2 linked regions of the Kluyveromyces lactis genome follow. The protein of the gene in region 1 interacts with the protein of each later gene in a pairwise test. Links are inferred from orthologs where the notes say so. Each region holds a gene or a part of one and is shown on either strand. Other genes may lie near its edges. The genes, in order: SLH1 and RQT4.

What was found.
Region 2: the proteins of SLH1 (region 1) and RQT4 interact in a protein complementation assay, tested with the Saccharomyces cerevisiae proteins (2 studies listed by BioGRID). The link is inferred for Kluyveromyces lactis from reciprocal best matches to the Saccharomyces cerevisiae genes SLH1 and RQT4.

Annotation. Positions count from the first base shown.
Region 1 is NC_006037.1:858,078-871,295, forward strand, and holds the start of SLH1 (RNA helicase), read left to right. Parts: upstream 1-7,344; coding exon 7,345-13,218. Other genes in the region: GOT1 (Got1p), read left to right, coding at 1-12; chromatin segregase YTA7, read left to right, coding at 381-4,340; glutamyl-tRNA(Gln) amidotransferase subunit HER2, read right to left, coding at 4,390-5,799; JNM1 (Jnm1p), read left to right, coding at 6,034-7,116. UniProt on the Saccharomyces cerevisiae protein: Involved in activation of the ribosome quality control (RQC) pathway, a pathway that degrades nascent peptide chains during problematic translation.
Region 2 is NC_006042.1:1,280,252-1,292,918, forward strand, and holds RQT4 (Rqt4p), read left to right. Parts: upstream 1-5,899; coding exon 5,900-7,396; downstream 7,397-12,667. Other genes in the region: CTF13 (Ctf13p), read left to right, coding at 1-435; transcription factor HAP4, read right to left, coding at 1,065-2,996; import motor complex subunit PAM16, read left to right, coding at 4,027-4,446; GSM1 (Gsm1p), read right to left, coding at 7,507-9,246; DBP7 (putative ATP-dependent RNA helicase), read right to left, coding at 9,755-11,977; RPC37 (DNA-directed RNA polymerase III subunit C37), read left to right, coding at 12,625-12,667.

The sequences.
Region 1 (13,218 bases):
CTTCCTGTGTGATGTGTGAGTGTGTGTATCTATATATATATGAGCTGTATTCGGGAATGGTTACCCTGTCCAAAATATGTCGATTACCCTACCTGAATATACCTCTAAATAAACAAAACCAAAAAGCTCCCAGAACCAGTTTAAGTTGTGTTCAGAGATTTATAACGATAATATACGGCATTAAACACAGCTTTTAAGGATCAAATTGGCGTTTTGGGCCATTAGACAAGCCAATTGGGTTAGGTTCGATTGTTATTCATTAAATCAGAGACTTTGTGGGGTGAATTTTGTGTGTCTCTGTCGCATTCTTTTTGATTTCTACAGTTCCGAAACTGCAAAATAAGAAAAGCCTTTTAGAAGTTTAGATCAAAGGAATCAAAATGACGCTCCATAGCAAGAGCGGTGACGATGAATCTGGCACTCATACTGAGTTTTACGATGATAATGGGATTGCTCATACCACACCGAGGCTGCTGAAAAAAGTTAACTACGCAGAGATTGAGAATGGTTACGATTATATCGAGGAATCTGATACGAATTCTGGAGGAACAGCCGCCGTTGGTGCTAACTATTCAGATACCGGTACTGGTAGGCGTCGTGGTAGGCGTCCCGGTCAGAGGAACAAGAGGGTTCGTGATGATGACGACGATGATGACGTTTCGTTCCACGAGGAAGATGTAGACGATGATGACGATGACGACGACGATGTTGATGACGGCGATGAGTATATCGACCCAGCAGATGATCGCAAACGGATAGCGAGAAGAAGAGATAAAAATTTCATTGTCAAGGACGATGAGGATGGATCTGATGGGAATGAAGATTATAGTATCAAGGAAGAGGATCTGGATGAAGATGAAGATGATGGAGATGAGGATGAAGAGGATGACGATGGTACTGTGAGACGTGGAAGAAGACCAAAACGGTCTGCAGCAAGAAGTACGCGTAGGGAACAGCCTCCTCGGAAGTTAAGGCCGCATAGAACCAGATCGTCTCGTGTTGTAGATGACGATGAAGACGACGATGATACGGTAGGTAGCGGTCGTCATAGATCGGCAAGTGCACGTACTAGAGAAGCGCTTACACTTGAGGACGAAATTAGAGAATTACAGGAGGACAGTCCTATCAGAGAGAAAAGGTCTTTGAGAGAACGTACAAAACCAGTAAATTACACGATCCCACCACCTTTGTCTGAAAATCAAATTGGTGCTATGGAAGCTACTTCGGTGCCAGGAATACCTCCAGGAACACTTCCATACCAATCATCCGTTTATCAGTCCCCAAGAGGTAAACGTGGTTTACATTCGGGTCAAAGTTTTGGACCTATTAGAAGGTTATTCCCTACCGGTGGTCCATTTGGTGGAAACGATGTTACGGCGATATTTGGTAAAAACGTTCAATTCTACAACTCTAATCCAAACGCTCTAAACGAACAGTCAAACAAATTTTTGGATTCTGATTCATCCGATGACGAAATCTTAGCTTTGGGTATGAAACCGAAACCAAAGGATCCATCAAAACAAAAGAAGAAAAAGAAACCGGAAATTGCAGATTTGGACCCACTTGGTGTCGATATGAACATTAATTTTGATGATGTCGGTGGTCTAGATAACTACATTGACCAATTAAAGGAGATGGTGGCATTGCCATTGTTGTACCCAGAACTTTATCAAAACTTCAATATTACTCCACCTCGTGGTGTCTTGTTCCATGGCCCACCAGGTACAGGTAAGACTTTGATGGCTAGAGCATTGGCCGCAAGTTGCTCAAATGAGAAGAGAAAGATCACTTTCTTCATGAGGAAGGGTGCTGACATTCTTTCCAAATGGGTTGGTGAAGCTGAAAGACAATTAAGGTTATTGTTTGAAGAAGCAAAGAAACATCAACCGGCAATCATTTTCTTTGATGAAATTGATGGGTTGGCTCCAGTTAGATCTTCCAAACAGGAACAAATCCATGCCAGTATCGTGTCGACAATGTTGGCATTGATGGATGGTATGGATAATAGAGGTCAGATTATTATAATCGGTGCTACGAATAGACCAGATGCAGTGGATCCTGCTTTAAGAAGACCAGGTAGATTTGACCGTGAGTTCTATTTCCCTCTACCAGACTTGAAGGCTAGAGATAAAATTTTGCATATTCACACCAAGAAATGGAATCCACCTATTTCAGATCAATTTATTTCAAAGCTAGCCTCCTTAACTAAAGGATACGGTGGTGCTGACTTAAGAGCACTTTGTACAGAAGCATCTTTGATCAGTATCCAAAGAAAGTTTCCACAAATCTATAAAAGTGAAGAAAAGCTAAAGATTGATCCTAAATCAGTTAGAGTCAAGGCTAGAGACTTCATGCTTGCACTAGAAAAGATTGTACCATCATCTGCTAGAGCTACTGGCTCTACAGCGCAGCCTTTACCAAAATATGTTGAACCGCTCCTCGCTCAACAATTTATTAACGTCAAGGATCAGCTCAACTTACTACTACCCAAGCAAAGCACAAAATTGAAATCGGGTTCCTCCATTATTCAATATTACTTAGAAAATGAGGATCTTGAGGATTCTGATGACGAAGAAGGTACTGGATTCGATAAGCATGAATTTTTAAAACTTATCAAGAAATCTCGTGTCTGCAAACCGAAACTTTTGATCACAGGCCCGCCCGGTAACGGGTTACAATATATCGCTTCCGCCACACTACACTTTTTGGAAGATTACAATATTCAAATGCTTGACATTCCTACCTTGGTATCGGAGAGTAGTAGAACGATGGAAGCAGCACTTGTACAAACATTCGCGGAGGCTAAGAAGCGTCAACCCTCTGTAATTTGCATACCAAACTTAGAATTATGGCTCCAAGCCTGTCCCCAAAGTTGTCTCATCACTTTAACCACTCTTTTCAGATCATTGCAGAGTAATGAAAACGTGGTTTTACTAGCTATCGCTGACGGCTTATCTCGCGCTGAAATTGAGGACGGTCCACTTGCAATGTTTTCCTTTGGGCCCAACATAGTGAACATTAACGAACCCTCCCCTCATCAAAGGTTTATGTATTTCAAAACCGTAGCTGATCTTATTAAGATGAAACCGACTCAATACATTGAATCGAGGAAAAGGAAGAAGCCACTTCCAAAATTACCTGTCGTCGAAACCTCACAGGAAATAGATGAGAATGGCAGACTTTTAACAGAAGAGGAGAAATTGAGACTGGAATTGAAAAAGTTCCAACACCAAGACATGAAATTAAAGAACACCTTGAAAATAAAGCTTTCTGGTTTAATGGATCTTTTCAAGAATCGTTACAAGAGGTTCAGGAAACCTCCTATTGATGATACGTTCTTGATTCACTTATTTGAGCCTGAAACCTTTGCTGCCAACCAAGGCTGGCAACCTGCTTATGTAAAGGACGGCGATATGATTCTCGAAGTTGCTACTGGTAGAAAATTCTATAACATGGATTTGGATATTATCGAAGAGAGATTATGGAATGGTTATTACTCTGAGCCGAAACAATTCCTAAAAGATATCGAGTTGATTTATCTTGATGCTACCACATCAGCGGACAGAGAAAGAGTAATAAAGGCATCTGAAATGTTTGCTAATGCACAAGTCGGCATCGAAGATATCTCGCAACCAGAATTTGTTGCAGAATGCAAAGCCACACGCCAAAGAGAACTTCTAAGACAAGAATTATTTATAAAGGAAAAAAGTGAACGAGTGGATAAGGAACAACAAATACTTTTGCAGAACAATCCAACTCAAACTGATTCGATCGCTACAGTTGAACTAACTACCGCCTCAGGAAACCAAGTGCAGTCTCAGGCTCAATTAGATGCGGGTACACTAGATCTAGGTGAAACGTCTCAAGTAGAGCCATTCACAACACAGCCTGTGAACTTTGGAACCAATGATGCTGATTTGGCAAAAACGGACACTGTTCAAGATTATTCGGAGAGCAGGCTTACCAATGCGGAAAATGGCTTTGCTCAGACTAGTCACAATAATTCGCATTTAACTGTTGATACTGAAGATGCAACTAATAAGGAGCAGGAAAAGCAACCACCGAGCGTCACTGAAGCTGAAGTAGAACCAGAAGCTCAATCAGAACCAGAACCAGAGTCAGAACCAGAGTCAGAATTAGAACCAGAACCAGAATTCGTCTACGATGAATCTAGAGCTCTCTCTTTGATCTCTGCTCTGGAAAAAAATACACAAAACTTCACAGTAGAGAAACTAGAAGAAGTTTATGCATCCATAGCCAACGTCATCTGGAACAATAGACTTTCATGGGACAAAACGGATGCTCTCGATCAGTTAGAAGGGCTTATCAAGACTTTATAAAAGAATTTCTGTTTATAGAATTATGGATTTTAACTAAACTTCAACTCATTTAACTATTTACAAGTGCATCAATTTCAGAACAGGCATCTAACAACTCGTAATCATTACCGTGTTGAGAGAATACTTGAATACCAAATGCGTGCCCTGCCGGTACAGTCATTGTTGGAAGCCCACATAATGACATGGGCATTGTGAATATGTCATTTATGTATGTATTCAAAGGGTTTTTATTCTCCTCGCTCACAACTTCATCATAGGTAGTAGGAAATGAAGTTGAGGTTAGGGACAACATGATATCAACGCCGTCTTTATTAACAGAGTTCCCACTTAACACATTTGGGAACCTGAAAGCCCGATCAAAGTCATTTATTAGTTGGACTCTTAGCTTTTGAGCTTTAATGTAGTTGTTCTTAAAGGACTCTGAGCATAAGTTGTAATTTCCCAAGATGATTCTGTTTTGAACTTCCGGTCCGAATGCCGACCTTGTTGGTGTAAATAAAGTACCATCTTCAACATCGGATTCTGCTCTATAACCGTACCGGACACCATCATATCTGGAAAGATTAGACACTGCCTCGGCAGGAGACAACGTGTAATAAATAGATAGTGCATTTTTCACTGATGGAATTGACACAGGATATACCTCATGCCCTTTCTTCATTAAACGTTTAATGATCGCCGTCATGGCAGCTCTAAATTCAGCAGGAACACTTTCCTGAGAAAATTCTTCCGGTATACCTATTCTTAAAGTCTTTCTCTTGGTTGTCAATGAAGTAAACTTGTGTCTCAATTCCTCGCTTAACGAAGTTGGATCTTTCTTGTCATGCTTATCTAACAACGAGAAGACCCTATCAATCATAGACAAATCGTTCGCAAATACCCCTACCGTATCCAAGCTCTGAGCATACGATATAACTCCATGCCTTGAGAGCCTACCATACGACGGCTTGAATCCAAAAGTTGAAGTGTATGAGGCTGGTAACCTTACGGACCCACCTGTGTCAGTTCCTAATGCAAAATCAACAACTCCGGATGCTACTGCAGCAGCAGATCCAGATGACGAACCACCTGCGATAACTCGATCCTTGTGATCAAAGAGCGGGTTGAATGTTGGCCCAAAATGAGAATGTATCCCAGCAGAACCCATACCGAATTCATCCATGTTGGCTTTACCAGCTATCACCGTTCCTGCTTCTAGCAATAACGAAACAACGGTGGCATCAAAAGGCGACATATAGCCATCTAAAATCTTAGAGGCACATGTAGAAGGCATATTCTTGGTGGCTATATTGTCCTTAATGGCGGCCAGGGTATAATTCAACGGTTTATCTGCGGTAGTGTTCTTATCTATTGATTCCAATTGCGACGATGCTCTCTCATTAACATATGTGAAAACATTGTAGCGACTTTGAATCTCCGGTATCTGCTGGAGCCTCGAAAGTGCCGTCTTGATAGACATGATCAGTAGCGAGTGTGTATGGTCAATTAAAAGAGAATTAGAGTAAGTCACTCCATTTTCACTTCCCAATGTAATATATTGTAGTGTATTGATTGAAAAGAACTAAATTCGATTCTAAGGTTTCATATCTATGAAACTTATTAACTATTGAACAGTTAAAGATCACAACCCGATTAGGGACCGATATATGGGACATACTAGCGCACATTCATAACTAGAGACCGGGAATAACTCATGGCTGTTGAAATAATCGATCTATCTACTGAGGTGGAACAATTAGGGTTACAAGGCGATACAGGGAAAGAAGTGTATGAGACCAGTGATGTTGAAGAAACACCAGACCAAGTAGTGATTACCGAGGCAAATGAAGATATAATTGAGGAGGAAATACCTAAGGTTCAAGAGAATAACGAAAGGTTCGAGCATTCTGTGCTAAGTTCGGAGGATACCGATTTTTCAGGAAAACTATACGCACTGCCGACGTATAATATCAGACATATAAATGAAACAAGAAGGCAGAGGCTGGCAAGGATACGGAGGGAGCTCCTTGAGATAGAGCAGGATTCCGAGGAGGATGGTTCCTCAAACGAATTACAGAACTTGAAGCAATTGTATGAAACGTTGGCTCAGTCTACGGAAAGTACAATGGAAAACATACAAAGCCAATTGGTCATAGCATCAGACGAGGATACAGAAAATGAGGTTACACTTCCAAACATCAGGATAGAAATCAACCAATTGAAGCAGCTGGAGGATATTGAGCATAAGATTTCCATATTGGAGTCACAAATCGGACCCTCGAATACGAATAAATCGATAACGTCAATCATCAATGAACTTCACAGAGAGATTAATATCCTCAAGTTGGATGAACCGACGTTGACTGGATTCCAAAATAAAATGAAAGAGATAAGTGATCAGTATGACCAGTCGATCATCGGAAGGAGAGCTCAGAAAGACCCAAATCTATCTACTGATATCGAAAGGAAGTTAAAATCTACAGAATCTAAGGTCAATGACATTTACGATAAGTATAACATCTTAAACAAGTACTCGGAAGTGATTCCACAAATCACAGAACGTGTACAGTCGCTAAACGTTCTACATACCTCTGTGAATGACATGAACGATACGGTATCTGAGATTAACGATCATATGTCTTCAGTTCATTCTCAGATCGAAAAATGGTCATCGCTCTTAGAATCCACGTCACGACAGCTTACCGACAGAGAACAATCCTTCAAGCGGACTAGGCATCAACTAGAGTTACAGCTCAACGATCTAGAGGTGAGAATAGGTAAATTGAGTGGCCAATAGCGTTTCTATGGATAGTTAATACTAGTAGTCAGTAGCCTTTTTTTTTATAGCTCATCTCTTCGCATTGTTAAAAGTGCACAAGAATCATAATTCGTAATCTTTAGCAAAGAACACCTTTTAAGTTGACTTTAACACAAGAAGATCAACGTAAAGCCCATATTGGAAAACCGTTACAGTCGTTATACTGTAGTTTGGCTATAGGGTTGATAATATTAATCTTTGTACAGGATGAGTACGACTTATTCAGTCCATTCCGTGGGCTCTTATATGAAGGCGATGGAAGTAATGGTTTCAGCAGCTCAGGCATTCCCTCATCTAGATACAAGCACAATCCCTAAGGTCGATGAGGAATTGAAGAAGGGTACTAAGCGTAGTGATAATAGAAATAAATTGTTGGTAACTTCTCAGGATAGGAATGAATGGGATGATATATTTGAAGAGTTTGCAAACCTTTCATCTGATAACTTACAATCGTTGATTACATCCAATCATTCAGCTTCTAATGCACAAGCACAAGTATACAAAGAGCTATTCAGACTACTTGATAATGTTGATTCTGATTTCCCTCGAGATCAACTACTACAGCAGTTGATCGAGTTGTTGAGGAACAATGAAAATACTGGAACTGCGGACCAAGATCTCTTCGATTACCTAGGTGCTGAAAACATCGAGCTGATATCGTTTCTAATTGAGAATCAAGAGATATTGAAACACACTCCGATTGAACATATGTCTAATTCGGATACTTACGAGGGAAACCGATTCATGACCGAAGAGGACATGAGAAGACAAGTCCTCAAGAATAGGGAAAAAGGTAAAAACGCTAAATTGGCTACTGCACAAAGAAAAGTAAAGTATCCACATGTCTTTAGACAGTCGGAGGATGCTGGATCGTCAATGCTTTCTTTTGCAGGTCAAAAATTTGCATTACCAGCTGGAAGCATGAGATATACTTTCCAAACACATGAAGAGATAACAATTCCATGCGCTGTACCGAAAAGAAAATTCGATATTCCATTGGTCAAAGTCAGTGATTTGGATGAATACTGCCGTAAAGTATTCGAGTATGATTATTTGAATAAGGTACAGTCCTTGGTTTACCCGGTAGCGTACAATACAAATGGTAACATGTTGATCTGCGCTCCAACTGGTGCAGGTAAAACCGATATTGCTTTATTGACTATATTAAATACAATCAAACAATTCTCCGTCATAAATGAAGAAGGCGGGTTTGACATTGAATATGATGATTTCAAAATTATCTACGTGGCTCCACTTAAGGCTTTAGCAGCTGAAATCACTGACAAGTTTGCTCGTAAGCTATCCGTGTTTGATGTCAAGGTTCGTGAACTTACAGGTGATATGCAACTAACGAAGCGAGAGATTCTTGAAACTCAAGTCATTGTTACAACACCTGAAAAATGGGATGTGGTCACACGTAAAGCAAGTGGTGACAATGACCTTACTTCAAAGGTGAAATTATTAATTTTAGACGAAGTTCATTTATTACATGAAGATAGAGGGTCAGTCATTGAAAGTTTGGTGGCACGTACTTTAAGACAGGTAGAAAGTTCGCAGACCATGATCCGTATCTTAGGTTTATCTGCTACCTTACCGAATTTCGTAGATGTTGCTGATTTCTTAGGTGTAAACAGGAATGTCGGGATGTTCTATTTCGACCAGTCTTTTAGGCCCAAAGCGTTAGAACAACATTTGATTGGTTGCAGAGGAAAAGCAGGAAGTAAGCAATGTAGAGAAAATACCGATAAAGTTGCCTACGAGAAGGCCGTAGAAATGATGAAACTTGGTAATCAAGTGATGATCTTTGTGCATTCAAGAAAGGATACTGTAAAAACTGCCAGAACACTTATAAGTATGGCAAGAGACAATTATGAGATGGATTTATTCACAAGTAACGATGCTTCCGTAACAATATTTCAAAAGGAACTTTCCAAACATAAAGATAAAGATCTTAAGGAGTTATTCCAATCAGGGTTTGGTGTTCACCACGCCGGTATGTCACGTTCAGATCGTAATATAACAGAAAAAATGTTCAAAAGCGGAGCCGTAAATGTACTTGTTTGTACAGCTACATTAGCTTGGGGTGTCAATTTACCTGCTGATTGTGTCATTATCAAGGGAACCCAGGTTTATGACTCCAAGAAAGGTGGTTACACTGATCTTGGAATTTCAGATGTTATTCAGATCTTCGGTCGTGCTGGTAGACCAGGGTTTGGTTCTGATTATGGTACTGCTTACTTATGTACTTCAAACGACCGTTTAGATCATTATGTCGACCTAATCACGCAACAACATCCTATTGAATCAAGACTAGGTGCTAAGGTTGTCGACAACTTGAATGCCGAAATATCTCTTGGAACAGTCACGAACGTTGAGGAAGGTGTGAAGTGGTTAGGATATACTTACATGTTTGTCAGGATGAAACAGAATCCTTTTACTTATGGTATTGATTGGGAAGAGATCCGAAATGATCCGCAATTGTACGAGAAGAGAAGACAAATCATCATAACAGCCGCCCGTCGTCTACATTCTCTACAAATGATTGTTTTCGATGAAGTTTCAATGCATTTCATTCCAAAGGATTTGGGAAGAATTGCTTCCGAGTTTTATTTACTTAATGAGTCTGTCGAAATCTTTAACCAAGTTGCTAATCCAAGGGCTACTGAAGCAGATGTGTTAGCCATGATTAGTATGAGCAGCGAATTCGATTCCATCAAGTTCAGAGAAGAAGAATCTAATGAATTAAATAAACTTCTTGACTGTGCCGTTGAATGTCAGATTTCTGGGGACGTCGACAGTTCACCTGGTAAGACAAATATTCTTCTACAAGCGTATGTTTCTCAAAGCAGAATTAATGACTCTGCACTAAATTCAGATGCAAATTACATTGCTCAGAATTCTGCAAGAATATGTAGGGCATTACTTCTAATTGGTATTAATAGAAGATGGGGCACGTTTTCAAAAGTTATGCTAGATATATGCAAGTCCATCGAAAAGAGAATGTGGGCATTTGATCATCCATTATGTCAATTTGACTTACCAGATACGATATTGAGGAACATCAAGGCAAAGAACCCCAGTATGGAAATGCTCTTAGATATGGACGCTGCCGAGTTAGCAGATCTTGTTCACAACCAAAAGATGGGTGGGAAGTTATATCGTATAATATCTCGTTTCCCAAGAGTAGACATAGACGCAGAGATTTTCCCGATAACAACAAATGTGATGAGGGTCCATATATCATTATTACCAAACTTTGAATGGGATTATCATGTACACGGCGATGCTCAATTCTTCTGGGTATTTGTGGAAGAATCCAATCAATCGAGTATTTTACATTTCGAGAAGTTCATATTAAACAAGAGGCAACTAAGTAATCCACACGAAATGGATTTCATGATTCCATTATCAGACCCACTGCCACCTCAAGTTATTGTCAAAGTTGTATCAGATACTTGGATCGGCTGTGAAAGCGCTCATACTATTTCTTTCCAGCACTTAATTAGACCTCACAATGAAACTTTACAAACAAGGTTACAAAAACTTAATCCGCTACCAACCTCTGCTTTGAAAAACCCATTGGTCGAGTCTATTTATCCCTTCAAATATTTCAATCCAATGCAAACAATGGTGTTCCATACATTATACCATTCCAACGTCAGTACGTTTGTTGGTTCCCCTACGGGGTCAGGTAAAACCGTCGTGGCAGAATTGGCCATTTGGCATGCATTCAGGGACTATCCTGGTAGTAAGGTTGTATATATCGCACCAATGAAGGCACTTGTGAGGGAAAGAGTGAATGATTGGAGAAAAAGAATCACTCCTGTCACTGGTGATAGGATAGTTGAATTGACTGGTGATTCCGTACCTGATCCTCAGGACATTAAAGATGCAACCATTGTCATTACAACACCAGAAAAGTTTGATGGTATTTCTCGTAACTGGCAAACCCGTAAGTTTGTGCAAAACGTTTCGTTGATCATTATGGATGAAATTCACTTACTTGCAAGTGATCGTGGTCCTATCTTAGAAATGATTGTAAGTCGTATGAATTATGTTTCCTCACAAACGAAAAAACCTATTAGATTGTTGGGTATGTCAACCGCTGTTTCAAATGCCTTTGATATGGCAAGCTGGTTAGGTGTTAAAGGAAATGGGTTGTATAATTTTCCCTCCAGTGTTCGTCCTGTGCCCCTAAAGATGTATATCGATGGATTCCCAGATAACCTAAACTTCTGTCCTTTAATGAAAACGATGAATAAGCCGGCTTTCATGGCCATTAAACAGCACTCACCGGAAAAACCTGTTCTACTATTTGTTGCCTCTCGTCGTCAAACTAGATTAACAGCTTTAGACCTAATTCATCTCTGTGGTATGGAAGACAACCCACGTAGATTCTTACACATAGACGATGAAGAAGAATTGCAGTATTATATTTCCAAAGTATCAGATGATACTTTAAAATTATCTCTTCAATTCGGCATTGGCTTACATCATGCTGGTTTGATAGAAAGCGATAGAGCAATCTCGCATGAACTCTTCCTAAGAAGTAAAATACAAATTCTCGTTGCTACTTCAACTTTAGCTTGGGGTGTTAACCTTCCTGCCCATTTAGTCATCATTAAAGGTACACAATTTTTCGATGCAAAGATCGAAGGTTACAGAGATATGGACTTAACAGATATATTGCAAATGATGGGTAGAGCAGGGAGACCCGCTTATGATACTTCAGGTACCGCTATTGTGTACACAAAGGAATCAAAAAAAATGTTCTACAAACATTTCCTAAACGTTGGGTTCCCCGTTGAATCATCTTTACACAAAGTGCTTGATGATCACATGGGTGCTGAAATAGCATCTGGTACTATATCGACTAAACAAGAGGCTCTTGACTTTTTGAATTGGACTTTCCTTTTCAGGAGAGCTCATCATAATCCTACTTATTATGGAATCAATGATGATACTAGTACTTCTGGTATCAATAAGTACTTAAGCGACTTAGTGAACAACACTCTTGATAATTTGAAAGAATCTAGATGTGTGGAGATTTATGGTACAAATATCTACTCAACACCATATTTGAGTATCTCCTCCTATTACTACATTTCGCATAAAACCATCCGTTCGCTTTTGAAACAAATCAACTCTAACGCATCGTTCCAAGATGTTCTAAAATGGTTATCACTTGCTGTTGAATATAACGAACTTCCAGTGAGAAACGGTGAAATAATCATGAATGTAGAAATGTCTGCACAGTCAAGGTATTCTATCGAATCTACCTTCATTGACGAATTTGAACTTCCAATGTGGGATCCACACGTGAAGGCTTTCTTATTGTTACAGGCATACCTCAGTCGTGCTGAACTTCCCATTGTTGATTATCATCAAGATACTATTTCGGTACTCGATCAATCTTTGCGTATCTTACAGGCTTATGTTGACGTGGCGGCCGAGCTAGGTTACTTCAACACCGTGATGACTCTGATAAAGGCCATGCAATGTGTGAAGCAAGGGTACTGGTATGAAGACGATCCTATCTCAGCGTTACCTGGAGCTCATTTAAAGAGAGACGACCGTATCGAATTCGGAGATGATGGTTGGCCATTACCTGATAATGGATACAAGATGAGTTTAGACTCTTTAGCAAGACTTCAAGATGACAATGGCGCCAAGAACAAGGTGAAGAATATCATGTCCAGACAGTACCATGTTACACCTGACCATCAAAAACGTATGTTGAGGGAAATATCCAGGTTACCCATATTAGACAATATTGTGTTCACTTCTCAGACCAGTAATGAATCATTAGTTCTTAAGGCCACACACCATAACAGGGTACCTAAAGAATTTTCAGTATACTGTGCGAAATATCCAAAGACTCAAAGAGAGCTCTGGTTTGCGATTGCATATCAAAACGATGAACTAATCATGTTGAAAAGATGTCAGCCAAGACTAGGACCCAATGGAAAAGGTTTACTAAGTTTCGACTTTGTTGTACCTGAAGATATTCGCGGTAAAGAATTAGATTTCGTTTTGGTAAGTGATGCTCTTGATATCAAGTACCACCTGAAGCACAAATTG
Region 2 (12,667 bases), on another chromosome or scaffold:
TATACGTTGAGGGATTTGGGGTACAAATCTGTTGTTGATTTACAAAAATGGGAACAACTTCAATGTCTTTCCTTATCAGGTTGCGAATTCATAGACCTCAATAACCTTATTTTACCACAACATTGCAAGATGTTGATATTAAAAGAAGTGAAGTATATCATATGGTGGGACCTGTCTCATCTGTTGAAACGAATCAGGCCTCAATGGATTATAAATGGTCAGGTGAAAAAACCCACGAAGAAAGAAGAAGAAGAGGAATCAGAATGGTATAACCTTTATTTAGAAGTGGTACAAACATACCAACCTCTGAATTTCATAGAACTGCACAACGCCAAGCGAGTTAAAGGAAATCTAATATTACCTGCTCGTTTAGTAACCGAATCTAGAATAAAGATTTCTAATGGGACTAAGGTAGATTCTGTTTTACTGATATAAGAGAATTGTGTCCAATGTGTACGATAAATATGTCAATTCATTAGCGCGAGAGAAACAGAGAACAAATGTACATATAGACTTATAAATAAGAGCAATATAATGAATATAGATAGGGAGAGTAATTTCGTGTCATTCATTTCATCAAACGAGATTGGAGGACCGTGAATACTAATAATAATAATAATAATAATAATAATAAAAAAAATCGGTGGGTAATAAAGGTAAATTATTGTGTCGTTAAAACATTATTGTCATTGGAATCGTTGGAAGGGGTCATTAAAAGGGGGTGCTTGACGTACTCATTATTCGAGAATAATAACGGTGTTAAATGAAGGAAAAACATGGTTAGCGGGGATAACATAATTGACAAATCGTCAAAGAAAGGATGGGAAACAATAAGGCTGACTACAACTTGGAATTGAAAATGTAAGGGTGGAATGAAAGTAAGCACATGTTGCGGCAAAAGATAACAGCAACAGATTAGAATGGAATATGACAAAATTAACACGATATCCGAAATGTTACTAAATTTCAGCCTTTGGTCAACAAAGCTCACGTATATGCTTTTTTGTAGAACACTAGAAACAAAAGCAGAGTTTAGCGATTGTAATATGCAGAATAAGAAAGTGTTAGTCCGAGAAAAAGATACCCATCTTGAGAAGGTCCATATCTTGTTCAGTGTTTTCAGGACCTAACAACTTTGAATCCTTGTCGTCTTGTTCTTCCATTAATTCTTCTAGTGTTGGTGCTACAAACGGTGTATCATTAACATGTTCACTTAAAGGATCGTCTGGATCTATGCTATTCAAATTTAAGTTCATAAAAGAATTTTCGTCATCTTCGCTGAGTTTCAACAGCAATGACGAGGGCAACGAATCATCGAGATCGATTGGCAAATCGCCAAGTTTCGAACCAGGGTTCTTAGTCAGAGCATGTTTTTGTAAGAAGTAAAGCATACTAGCATCTTGCTCCGCGTTATAAGCCTTTGAATTCGCTAACGTATCTGTCATTGGGTCTTCTTCTTTAATGCAATCCAATTCATCCTGATGGGTAGAGTGGTGATCTACCTTAAGCTTTTGTATAGATTTCAAAGGTTCTTGAGAATGTGAAGTCGAAAGTTTGTATTTGGAATAGAACTCCATTTGCTCATAACCATCCAAGAATTTCATAGCTTCAATAGTATCAGAGAACTGAGAATTTGGTAAGCTCTTATTTGATGTGTGGCTACTACTTGGACTTGATCCTGTATTCGTCAAGGTAGATGAATTGGAAAGAAGTTGATTGCTCACGGTACGATTTAAGTCGGTAGAGAATAAAGAACTTGGGGTAGATGATGATAGTAACAGATCGTCTTCATCTGTCAAACTTGCACGAGAACTCAAAGAAGAGGTCTGAACCATCCTTGAAGAGGAAAGATTTTTGATGAAGTCTCTATTTGGTTCATCATCTTCATCGAATTTCAAAAAGATTTCAGTATCGTCTGCAGGTTCTGGTTTCACTTCGATTTGTAACATATCAGCATCATTGTCAATGATAGATCTTTTACGAGGCAATCTCTCAGTATGTTCTTGCTTCACATGTACTGGCTCATGGTACGATTTATTTGTCATTGGTTTTGGAAGAATCTTCTGTTGCATTGGAACACTGCTGTTGACACTTGGTACTATGGTATGTGGAGATTTAGAATTTGATTCTTCTGGTACGATAGGGAACTGACGTTTCAATTCCTGTAAGTTACCCACTAGATCGGTAAGCTCCTTCTTAAGCTTATTGTTTTCCATCTTAAGGATCTTGATCTCTTTCTTCAAAGCAGTTTTGGAACCTGGTTTTTTCTTTGGCTCCACGGGTTGTGCAGATTGAATATGATCTAAAGTAACATCCAGCTGTTCCATTTTCACCTGTGGCTTAACTTTTGCGCTTTCCATTTTAGCTGATGGCTTTAAGGTCGGAATTGGCATGACTTGTTTCTTGCAAGCAGCTGGTGCAATTTTGGCACGGATGGGCTTAGGCTGGGTATGAGTGATCGATGTTGTCTGTTCAACTTGTATTGCTTTTGACTTGGCGTTTGTAGATTTACAGTTAGTCAACGGGATAGTTGATGATGATGATGATGATGAGGAGCTTGCGGTTGGCACTCCTGTACGGACTGCAGTCGTTGTAGATGACGCTACTGTACCTTGATCAGAAGAAGAGCAACTTTTACCAGAATCAATAACAGTGGCAGCCAAGTGTTTTTTCGATCCCGGTCTCAAATTCTCAACTTCTTTCACTGATTCCACAGGTTCTTGTTTAATCTTGGCATTAGTACTTGAAGCAGAAGCAGGCGTAGTGGACTCTACAGCCATACCCTTGACATTTGCCAGTTGCTGCTTTATCGATAAAGAAGGACTGGGTTTTCTACCCGGTTTAGGCCTCGGTGGAAGAACCCAGTGCCTAGACGTTCGAATCGTGATCCCAGTGGGTTTCTCATGTTTCTTCGGCTGTAAATTAGGAGCAATTGTAATCTGCTGATGAGGCCCAGTGTGTCCGTGAAGGGGCTCCAATGAAACTGGCCTGGACATTAGTTAATTCTTACTCTGTGTCTGAAGTGCTTTTATTATAGAATTCTCTCCGGACCAGCGAAAACAATATTAACTGGTTCGGAACCGGAGCCGTAACCAGAGTTGCGAAGTATGCGTTTGAAAGTAGGATACAAAAACCTTACGGCGAGATGCAACCTAAATTAGTTTGAACCACCTGCGATACGATTGAATCACGCTTGTTGAGTCCTTGTGTGTCTGTTAGAACCTGTTTTAGTTTCGGAGAAGTCGTTTGTTTCGGTAGAATTAACTACTCAACTTTTCAATTTAAACCGAAATTGAGAGAGAGAGAGAGAGGGGGAACAATGGTAAAAATGAGGGCATGATACATCAAGACGAGCCATCATGAATTTATATATCTCAGGCCATAAGATAGTATGGCCTGAGTACTAAGAGGTATCTCAAGTTTGAAATGGGGATTGGGTGTTGAGTTGCTAATAATTGATCACGTGACCATGACCCCAGATACAAAGCCACGCTCCCAAACTGGATCCCCCCCCTCCTCCCCGTTACAGTACTACGCTAGTACTAGCATGCTGAATTCACATCCCCAATCAATGCAACAGCAGCGTAGCTGCTGTTGCTGGGATCACCTATCGTTTAATTTCTTGATACCTGCGTCGTTTCCGATGCCACATTCTACAATGTGGAATGAGAAGCTAAAACCTCATAAAAATACCCTATAAAAAGCCTGAATGAGCGAATGCAATTACAAACTCCATCTGTAGTCATTGTAGACTAGCTAAATCATTCTAATGAGGCATAGCTGTCAACCAGATATATAGTTATTTGACGGTGTCACAGCAAATATGTGGGGCTGGTCTTGACATCCCCGGGTAACCCCTTCTGTTTTCGAAAAGTCATCGAAAAGTTGAGAACAGAAAGAACTGGAACTAATAACAGCATTAAACACTAAACTACTCATCGGATTAACTTCTAAGCTTTGTCTAAGAACGCCGTTCCAGTTCGAGTAAACTGCGCATATCCAAGAAATACAACAAGACTATAGGATATGGCACACAGAGCGTTTATACAGGTGATTTTCACCGGGGCACAGGTGTTTGGACGTGCGTTTGCGGAATCTTACAGACAAGCAGCAGCTCAAACAGCTAAACAAACGGCAAATGCTTCTAGAGGCCGTGGTGCTAGCGCAGAATACGGAGGTATCACTTTAGATGAGAGTTCTAAGATTTTGAACATTGAGAATGAACAGGATATGAATTTGGATAAAATCAACGAAAGATTCAAGTATTTGTTCGAGATCAACGATAAAGAGAAAGGTGGATCATTCTACTTGCAGAGTAAGATTTACAGGGCAGCAGAGCGTTTGAAGTACGAGCTTGCTGAAAAGGAAAAGGCTGCCAATCCAGAACTGAATCAAGAACAAGCGAAGTCGAGTTCCACGACGGAGTCACCGGAGTTGAAAAAATAGCGTAAGGTCATTCTCTCTGGCCTAGTATAAGTTTTGTAAATAGTTCAAATAAACCGAAATACACGCATCGCATGCTCATCGTATCATGTTCAGCACAATATCATCAGTGGTTGATGAAGCTGATTTATGTCTACAACTAATTAATACAAAAATTCTCTAGAAGATGGGAAAACTGTTCCATCATGAAGAAGGGCACAACGGAGAGTGAAAATCCAAACTCTCAGGCAGCCATTACGCAAAGCCCTCTGGATCACATGCAACACCTGGAAGAACAACTAGAGCGAGCTGTTAAACCGCTTCTAATCATCACTTTCCAGACCTCTTCATAATGGTTAAAAGAAAGAAGTGATGCAAAAAACCGGGAAAAGGAAGAGACTTCCCCTCCCAACTCAATGCGCTTCCAACTTTATTGATCTAAGAAACCGGAAACGAAATGGAAACTGTGGCCAGCTTGTTTGGGGCTAGTCAGGATCCATTCAGCTATGGGTTAAAAAATGGTAACAGTCACTCTTCTCCAGTATTAACTAAAGCCGTTCCTAGATCTCCGAAGAAACCTAGGAAAAACTTCTTGAGAAAAGAGATAACCGAAACCGTAGGTTTCTATGGTGTATATGTGTATTAATATTATCTTGAGATAGTACTAACCACTACTGATGATTGGTTTATTAAGAACAAACATCAAAAAGATTTTCCAATCTTTGAACTGTAAGAGTGTTTGAAAGAGGTTCAAAGTGTTGAAAAATTTGCCACTTTTATACTATTGATCGGAAAGATTACCCGGACATACGTCTCTACTATTATAATTGATTTAGGGTTTTACCAGGTAAGATATCGTTGACCAGACAAGCATGTTGCAGATATTTGGGGCCCTTCATGGTGTATATTGCCTAGTCGAGAATCAGTTTATATGAAATGTAAATCTGTTCATCCAAGTGGGATCTTTTGAGTCGAACTTATAAGCAATATACTGCTCATCTTGCCCATGCAGCTCGTCCTACTCACTGCACTGCTTAATAAGTGTCAATATCCAGGAACTTCGGTTACTTAGAGTAGTACCCAGCTTCTGGGCTGTGGCACCAGCAGTAACTATACCGTTTAGATTTATATATAGTTATAGAAAGGTTCGGGTATTAATGTCTGTCAGTCCAAGATAATGTGACGTTAACAACCATTTGACAGTAAAGCTTCCGAAGCTGCTACTTTCGATCCAAGTTCTCGAGTCTATGATTCTTCATGAGATCACCTGGACAGCCACCCAATTGTTACAATAGACCTCTTGTTGGCTGATCGGTTCCACCTTTTCTTTCATAACTTGAGAACTCTCATCTTTTAAAGTGAAAAAGTCTAATATTGAGAGATGAGCCTTAGCAACTGAGAAAGTAACTACTCGTATCCAAACAACACAGTAAAAGGATATACATAGCACTGGAATAATATTGCCAAAACAGTCACAATGACGAAAGAGGATGCTATTGAGTATGCTATAAAGGAATTGCCCAACATTTTGCCACTAGATACAGAACAGATCAAAGATCTATGTGAACAGACGATAAAAGAAGGCAACAACCCTGAACAGATAGCCCAATCCTTTTTTGATCTTTTAGGGCAAGACGACTCATCGGTACATTTCATATTTGAGTTCAATGAGAGGCTCATGGAATTGCCCCGTAAAACGGCTGTCAAGAAACCAATAGTGAACGAAACAACCAATACTAAAAAAGTGATATCTCCATTGATTAATACTGTGAAAACCAATGATTCCAGGGCCGAGTTCGCCAACAAGTCTATTCAAGCAACGAAACCGATATTGAATAGAGAATTAAAAAAGGTACCGACTGCCAAGGCTGTGAAAAAGGATTCGGGGAAAGAGAGTAAAGAAGTCAGATTAGATTCATTGAAGGATATCGATGATGTGTTAAAGATGTTGGAGATGAGGTCAGTCTCTGGGGATTCCGGTCAATATAAATGCAATTGCCAGGGAACAAGGCACCCAATATTCGATCCTGCACCAAACTGTCTGTCATGTGGCAAAATAATATGTGTCAAAGAAGGTTTGCATATGAACAATTGCAGCTTTTGCGGAGCTGAATTAATCCCAGCTAAGGAACGCGAACAAATCTTAGAATTGCTACGGTTAGAGAGAGAACAAATAGAGCTTCAGAAAGTTGAAGAGAACAAGCCCAAGCCGAAGCAAACCAAGAAATATAAGATTAAATCTGGTGCAGGCACAAATTTATGGCAAGAACAAGAGAAAATGCTACAAAGAGTGGAGAAAGATCGGGAACAAGAGAGAGAGATTAAACGACAACAAATATTGAATGGGGAGTCAAAGGAAGAAGAGGAGGATGAACAACTTATTGAAGCACGAAATCGACTCGACAAGCTACTTCATTTCCAGGATACCAGTGCTGAAAGAACCAAGATCATTGACAATGCTAGTGATTTCGCTATGAATGAAGATGTCATGTGGGGTTCTGCTTACGAAAGAGCATTACAACTAAAGAAACAGCAAAGAAATTTACGAAAATGGGAAAAGATTGAGAATGAACGCAATGGAAGGCGTGAAAAGGTCGTCTTGGACTTGACGATCGGTAAGGATGGTAAAGTTGTTATGACAGAAGCAGTTAGAAAGAGCAGCAAAAAAACGAATGCAACTAGTGATGATGAAATAGATGATATTAGCGATGAAGAAGATCTCCAAGACTTGGAAGATATCAAGAATTTGAAGTTAGAGATAAATCAACAAAAACAGAAGGAGAGTTCCAAGTTAACAAACAATGTTTGGGATTATAACAAGGCGCAGTCGGAGTTTAAGAAACCTGTATACATAGCAAACGCTGAGGAAGAAAAAGAATCTGCTCCTAAAAAGGTATCAAATGAAGTTCATCGTGTCCAAGTAGGTATTGATGATAGACCATCACTTCAAGATAGCATTTTGGCAATTTTGTGAAATTTGTCTGCCCGGACCGCCGATGTTTCCATAATCAATAAATAAATGTGTTGGAAAATTTATATATAGTTACATATCGAGCAAGCGTTACGGTTGGAACAATTCGACTATCATTCAATATCGAAAATTGGTAAGAACTGGCCCATTATTAACATTGGAATATTAAATGCATCTCTTTTAACTGTCCAAATACATGCACACCGTAGATAGCATCCATTCTTTAACAAAAGGTTACATTCGCTAAAAATAGCCTGACCATCAGAAGTTCCGGTCGATGAATTGAAGGGCCCACTTTGAGTTGAACCAAATGCCAAATACTCATGGAATATATCATAGTAATCTACTATGCTTTCATTGTCCATGAATTCCATGATAAACTTTCGTTTGTTTAAAATCTCCTTTTTGTTGAACCCGGTAAGGGATATAAATTCATTAGAAGCAAAGCATATCTCCCCTGACCTTCTCCATATACACATTGGGGTACAATTTACAAGTTTGGCCATGCTTTCATACTCTAACAATGCCCTTTGGAGAATAATTTCTTGTAATTTTAAATCTTGAGCAATTAAACTATTAGTTAGTGTAACGAATATTGGTGCATAATGTGTTTTAATAGAGTGGGCTATATTTTGCAATTGCTCGGGGCCATCCCTCTGAGATTTACCCGAGGAAGGTTTATCTGAATTAATGAATCTCCATCTCAAAAATCTTAACAGTTCCAGATAAGCTGACTTATAATTATGCGGTTGAATTAAAGCTTGATGTTTGTACAAGTCCTCAGGTGTCTTAACCAGTAATCTAAACCTGTATGGACTCAAATTCTCCACAGTTTCACCACCTTGAGATTCCGGTGACGTATCATTTGCAGAATGCCTTTTAGATTCACTTGCCATTTGATCTAACGATATGTGCGGCCTGGAATGCGTCCTTTTCAACCCATTGCTTGTGAGATTTAGCAGTTCCTGAGTATTGATAGGTCTTTGAGATTCAGTGATAGGATCCATTTTCATCATGTTACTTGGAGACCACGCTATATTGGAATTCAAGTATGTCTTTGAGTTATTTCGGGAAAGGTTTGGTGTCGATAGCATATCATTGAGCTTTGTATATTCTTCCGTAGTCCATACACTCCCGAACTCCCCAGTGCTACTGTTGCTGCTCGTATGATCTGAATTCAGCTTCTCTGGGATTGGCAGCAGCTGCTGTGCTGGTTGTTGCGGCCCCTGCTGAGGTGCTCGCTCAGAAAGTGGTTTATTCTTAAATTCCTCCAAGGGAGTCTTATCAGCCAGAGAGGGTAAATTGGCTGCACTATTCTGATTACTTGGCAACAAGGCATCCGAGATAATGGGCTCTGCAGTTGGGTTGAATAACTGAGTGAGACTGGGAATCTTCGGCAACTCTGGCGACATAACTTTCTTCTGTTTCCCAAACATATCAGATGGAGAATTTATAACGGGCATTTGTAACGGTAAAGAATCCATAGCTAGCTTGGAGATCCTCGTCTTCTTTGTCGAAACTCCAGTTTGCTTGGCCTTTATTATTTTACTCGAATTTTGTCTATTGCTAACGGCAGTTGCAGTATTAATAACGGGGATCAGTTGTTGATTAATAGTATTAGATATCTCTGACTTTGTCGACGCCGAAACCTCACGTTCCTTCTTAACTTTCCGCGGTCCGCGTTTCCTGGGCTTACGCTCCTTATCCCTACATGTGTCACCAATCCCACGCTTCGAGCAGTTTTGGCAGGGTCTACCAAGATCACATTGTAAATGCTTCTCATGGCAAAACACACAAGCTGTCGGTATCGGTTTTCGATTCAGTTTCTCTTGAGCTGTAAGTTTCTTCGTCATTACAAAATATACCAACCATAAAATACAACTTAGTTCTTATAATAAATAGTTCCGGTCGAGGAATAATACCTTGTTGAATACCCTGGTCTCTTCCAAAATTAGAAAAGCGATCGAAAACAGCGATATCTGAAAGGCTGAATAACTCAGTATTAGAGTCTTGAGTAGCGAATGTCTCAGCCAGGTGATATGTACCGTTTCCGGTATATAAGAAGTTAATTTGGATAATTCAAACGAAGTTCTTAAATCTTGTTTGTCATTTTCTTTATATCTGGGGAAAACATTCAAAAAGTGTTGATGATTTATTTTGAATCAGCAAAGGGTTCAAGACGAACTGGAGTAAATCGCGACCTTTAAAAACTCTCGCTTAGTATACTAGCATTTAAAAGCTGTACTAAGGGGGTAAAAGATTGGCTTTTAGTGTCTATCAAATGTTTATGTAGTGCAAATGTTAGAAATACATGAGTTTTGAATAAAGTATATGTAGAAGTTGGCTGGAGTGAGTTTACATTTATGCAAAGTTGAATTCGTCGTTAGATTGTCTCATGGCCATCTTGGCCATACGTAGCATTTTAGACTTCGAGTCCTCTTTTGGTTTCTTTTGGGAAGCTGCAGCAGCAGCTCCGGCTTTACCTTGCTGGAGACCCATCGATTTAGGTCTTTCTCTTAGGGCAAATGATTTGGCCAAATGACCAAGATGTAGACATTTAAGGTTGAAAAACTTCTTTTCGATGGAAAGATGGGTAGCATACGCTCTGATGTGGGACATGTACCCCTTGACAGCCAATTCCTTGAAGTGAGAATCTTCGATTACTCTCCTTTCAACGTTTAAGTGCCAAGTAGTAGCGTTGTTGTCCCAAGCTTGTGCTTCATGTTTGTCCCAATCTTCCTTCTTTTTATCGGTTCTTCGGACGTTGAGCCCCTCGAATGCAGGCCTCAAAACTTGCTCGTCGTATGTGAGTAATTTCCAACCTTTTGGATGGTACGGTTTGATGTAGTCCATGTATCCTTCTTCTTCACCAGGTAAGAGGAATAGTAGAGATTCACCTTCGCAACCAGCACGAGCAGTACGCCCGATTCTGTGTAAATGGTCTTCTACTGCAAACGGTGGATCCATTTCTATAACAGTACTCACATGGGGTAAATCAAGACCTCTGGATGCAACATCGGTACAAAATAAGATCAGATGCTTACCCTTGGTGGCATCGTTATTCGTGGCGAAGTGTTTTAAGGTTGCGGTTCTTGTTTGTTGCGATAAGGACCCATGCAACTTGTAACATATGACGTTTGGATCGTCCGTGTCGTTGAAACATGGAAGTATGCTGTTCCCCTTTGTGAGAAGCCTTGCGGTATCTCCAACGAGACCTCTATGATTCCCATCATGCGATGAAAACACTTCGTAGTGGAAATCTACACTATCAGAACAAGATAAAAACACAATGGTTCTTGTTACGTCTGATTTTGATCCTTCTTTATAATGCTTTTGAGTTATAGTTGTCAAAGATCCCGCTAGAGTAACTAGCCTTAGCTTTGGTGGCACTATGACAATCTTTTGAAGTAATTGATCTGGTACTGTAGTAGTTTCCGTTTGTTTTTGACCACTGCTAATCAATTTGTAGTTTTGAAGCGTTACATTGCCAAGTTTTGTCACGTTACCTTTCACAGTAGCACTACACAAGACGTGTAAAATTCTCTTTGGCAACTTGGGGAATTGATGAGTATCTATATCGATACCATGAATGATATTGAGGATTTCCTTCAAAGTCTCTTCAAACCCCAATTCCATCAACTTATCACCTTCATCCAAAACAACATATCTTAAACTTGGAGCCAATTGTTCTTTAATGACTTTTGTGTTCTGTAAATGATCCAATACTCTACCTGGAGTACCAATGATAAAGTTAGCACCTTTTCTCAATCTCGCCTTTTCCGATTTCTTTCTTTCACCACCAATAAGGAGACATGGCACAAGGAAATGACAACATTGAGCAAGCTCAGAAGTCACTTGATAAATTTGGTTGGCCAATTCTCTTGTTGGTGTAACTACAAGTGCAAAACATCCAGATTGTCTTGTGATATTTTGACCCAACGATAGTATGCTTTGGAAAATTGGTAATAAAAACGCCAATGTCTTACCAGAACCAGTTTGTGCATGAATAAACAAGTCGTTTTGTGCTTGTAAGAATGGTGGGATAACCAACTTCTGAATCTTAGTTGGCTTAGAAATCTTCATCTTGACGTTTAAGTGTGAAACCATCGTGTCAGTGATACCGAACGAATCGAAGGTGTCACCAACCAATGGTGCATTGGAATAAGTCACTTCGGCTTTTTCATCATGAGCATTACTATTGGTAACTGTGTCAATATTTCTACTGGACGTGAACAAAGAGGAAACGATTTGCGAGTTTAGCTGTAATGGTTGCGTTACCCTAGCTGGTTGTTCTACATTAGAACTGTTATCAAATCTTGATCTCTTAGGTTCTACAGGTGCCTGTGCCGAAGTTGAATTCGAAGAGGAGGCTTCCAATTCTTCAAAAGTTGGTGCTCCATCAGATTCTAATGGTCTCTTTTCACCCCTGACCCTCGGTTTACGACCTTCCATCATCATTTTGGCCTTTCTCCTGTCCTTCCATTTACCACCGGTAATTTTACCTCTACTGACTGTTTCACTAGCATCACTAACGTCAGTTGTAAAATTTAACAGCATTCCATCATCGTCATCATTGAAACTCATCTTTACCTACTTGATGATCGTTGATATGGGCTGCTGAGCGACGTACAGAGACTTTCACTTCATCTAATGTCAGCTCATCGCACAGTTAAGTCCTACTTCCATATTAAAATTTTCTATGCTTGATGTCAAGAAAAAGCAATACAAAGGTAAATACTCACAGAATTGGATAAAATACAGTTAGATTGGCGACTATCAGGATCGTTTGAACTGGACATTTGACACTGTAGTGGTTCGTGCTATGTACAGGTCATGTTATGTGCTGAAATTGATATCTCTTTGGTTTCATTACTGATTCAATTCTACAAACCTTGTCTGAAGTTTAATGTTAAAGCATATTATATACACGTAGAAAGGCAGATGGACAGAGACAAAAGTCGCTTATGACAAATATTAATAAGGTGGTGATGAAATACTCGCCCAGCCGGTATGGAACCAGTTGGAAGGTGATAAACCATCCTTTTACAGACGCTTCTCTCTTCTTGTTTCAATGATCACAAGACACGGCTCATCGCATCGATTGAAATTTTGACATTTCGGATGAGAAGGCTCACTCATTAGTACAACTAATGAGTGTTGAACCACTTGTACAACCAACTATTGTCCTGTTTCTATCCAGGTATCTGTAAGAGGGTGTCAGTGGTCTCAAAATGTCTAATGGTTTGTTTGTTACCGATGAGGACGGTGATACTG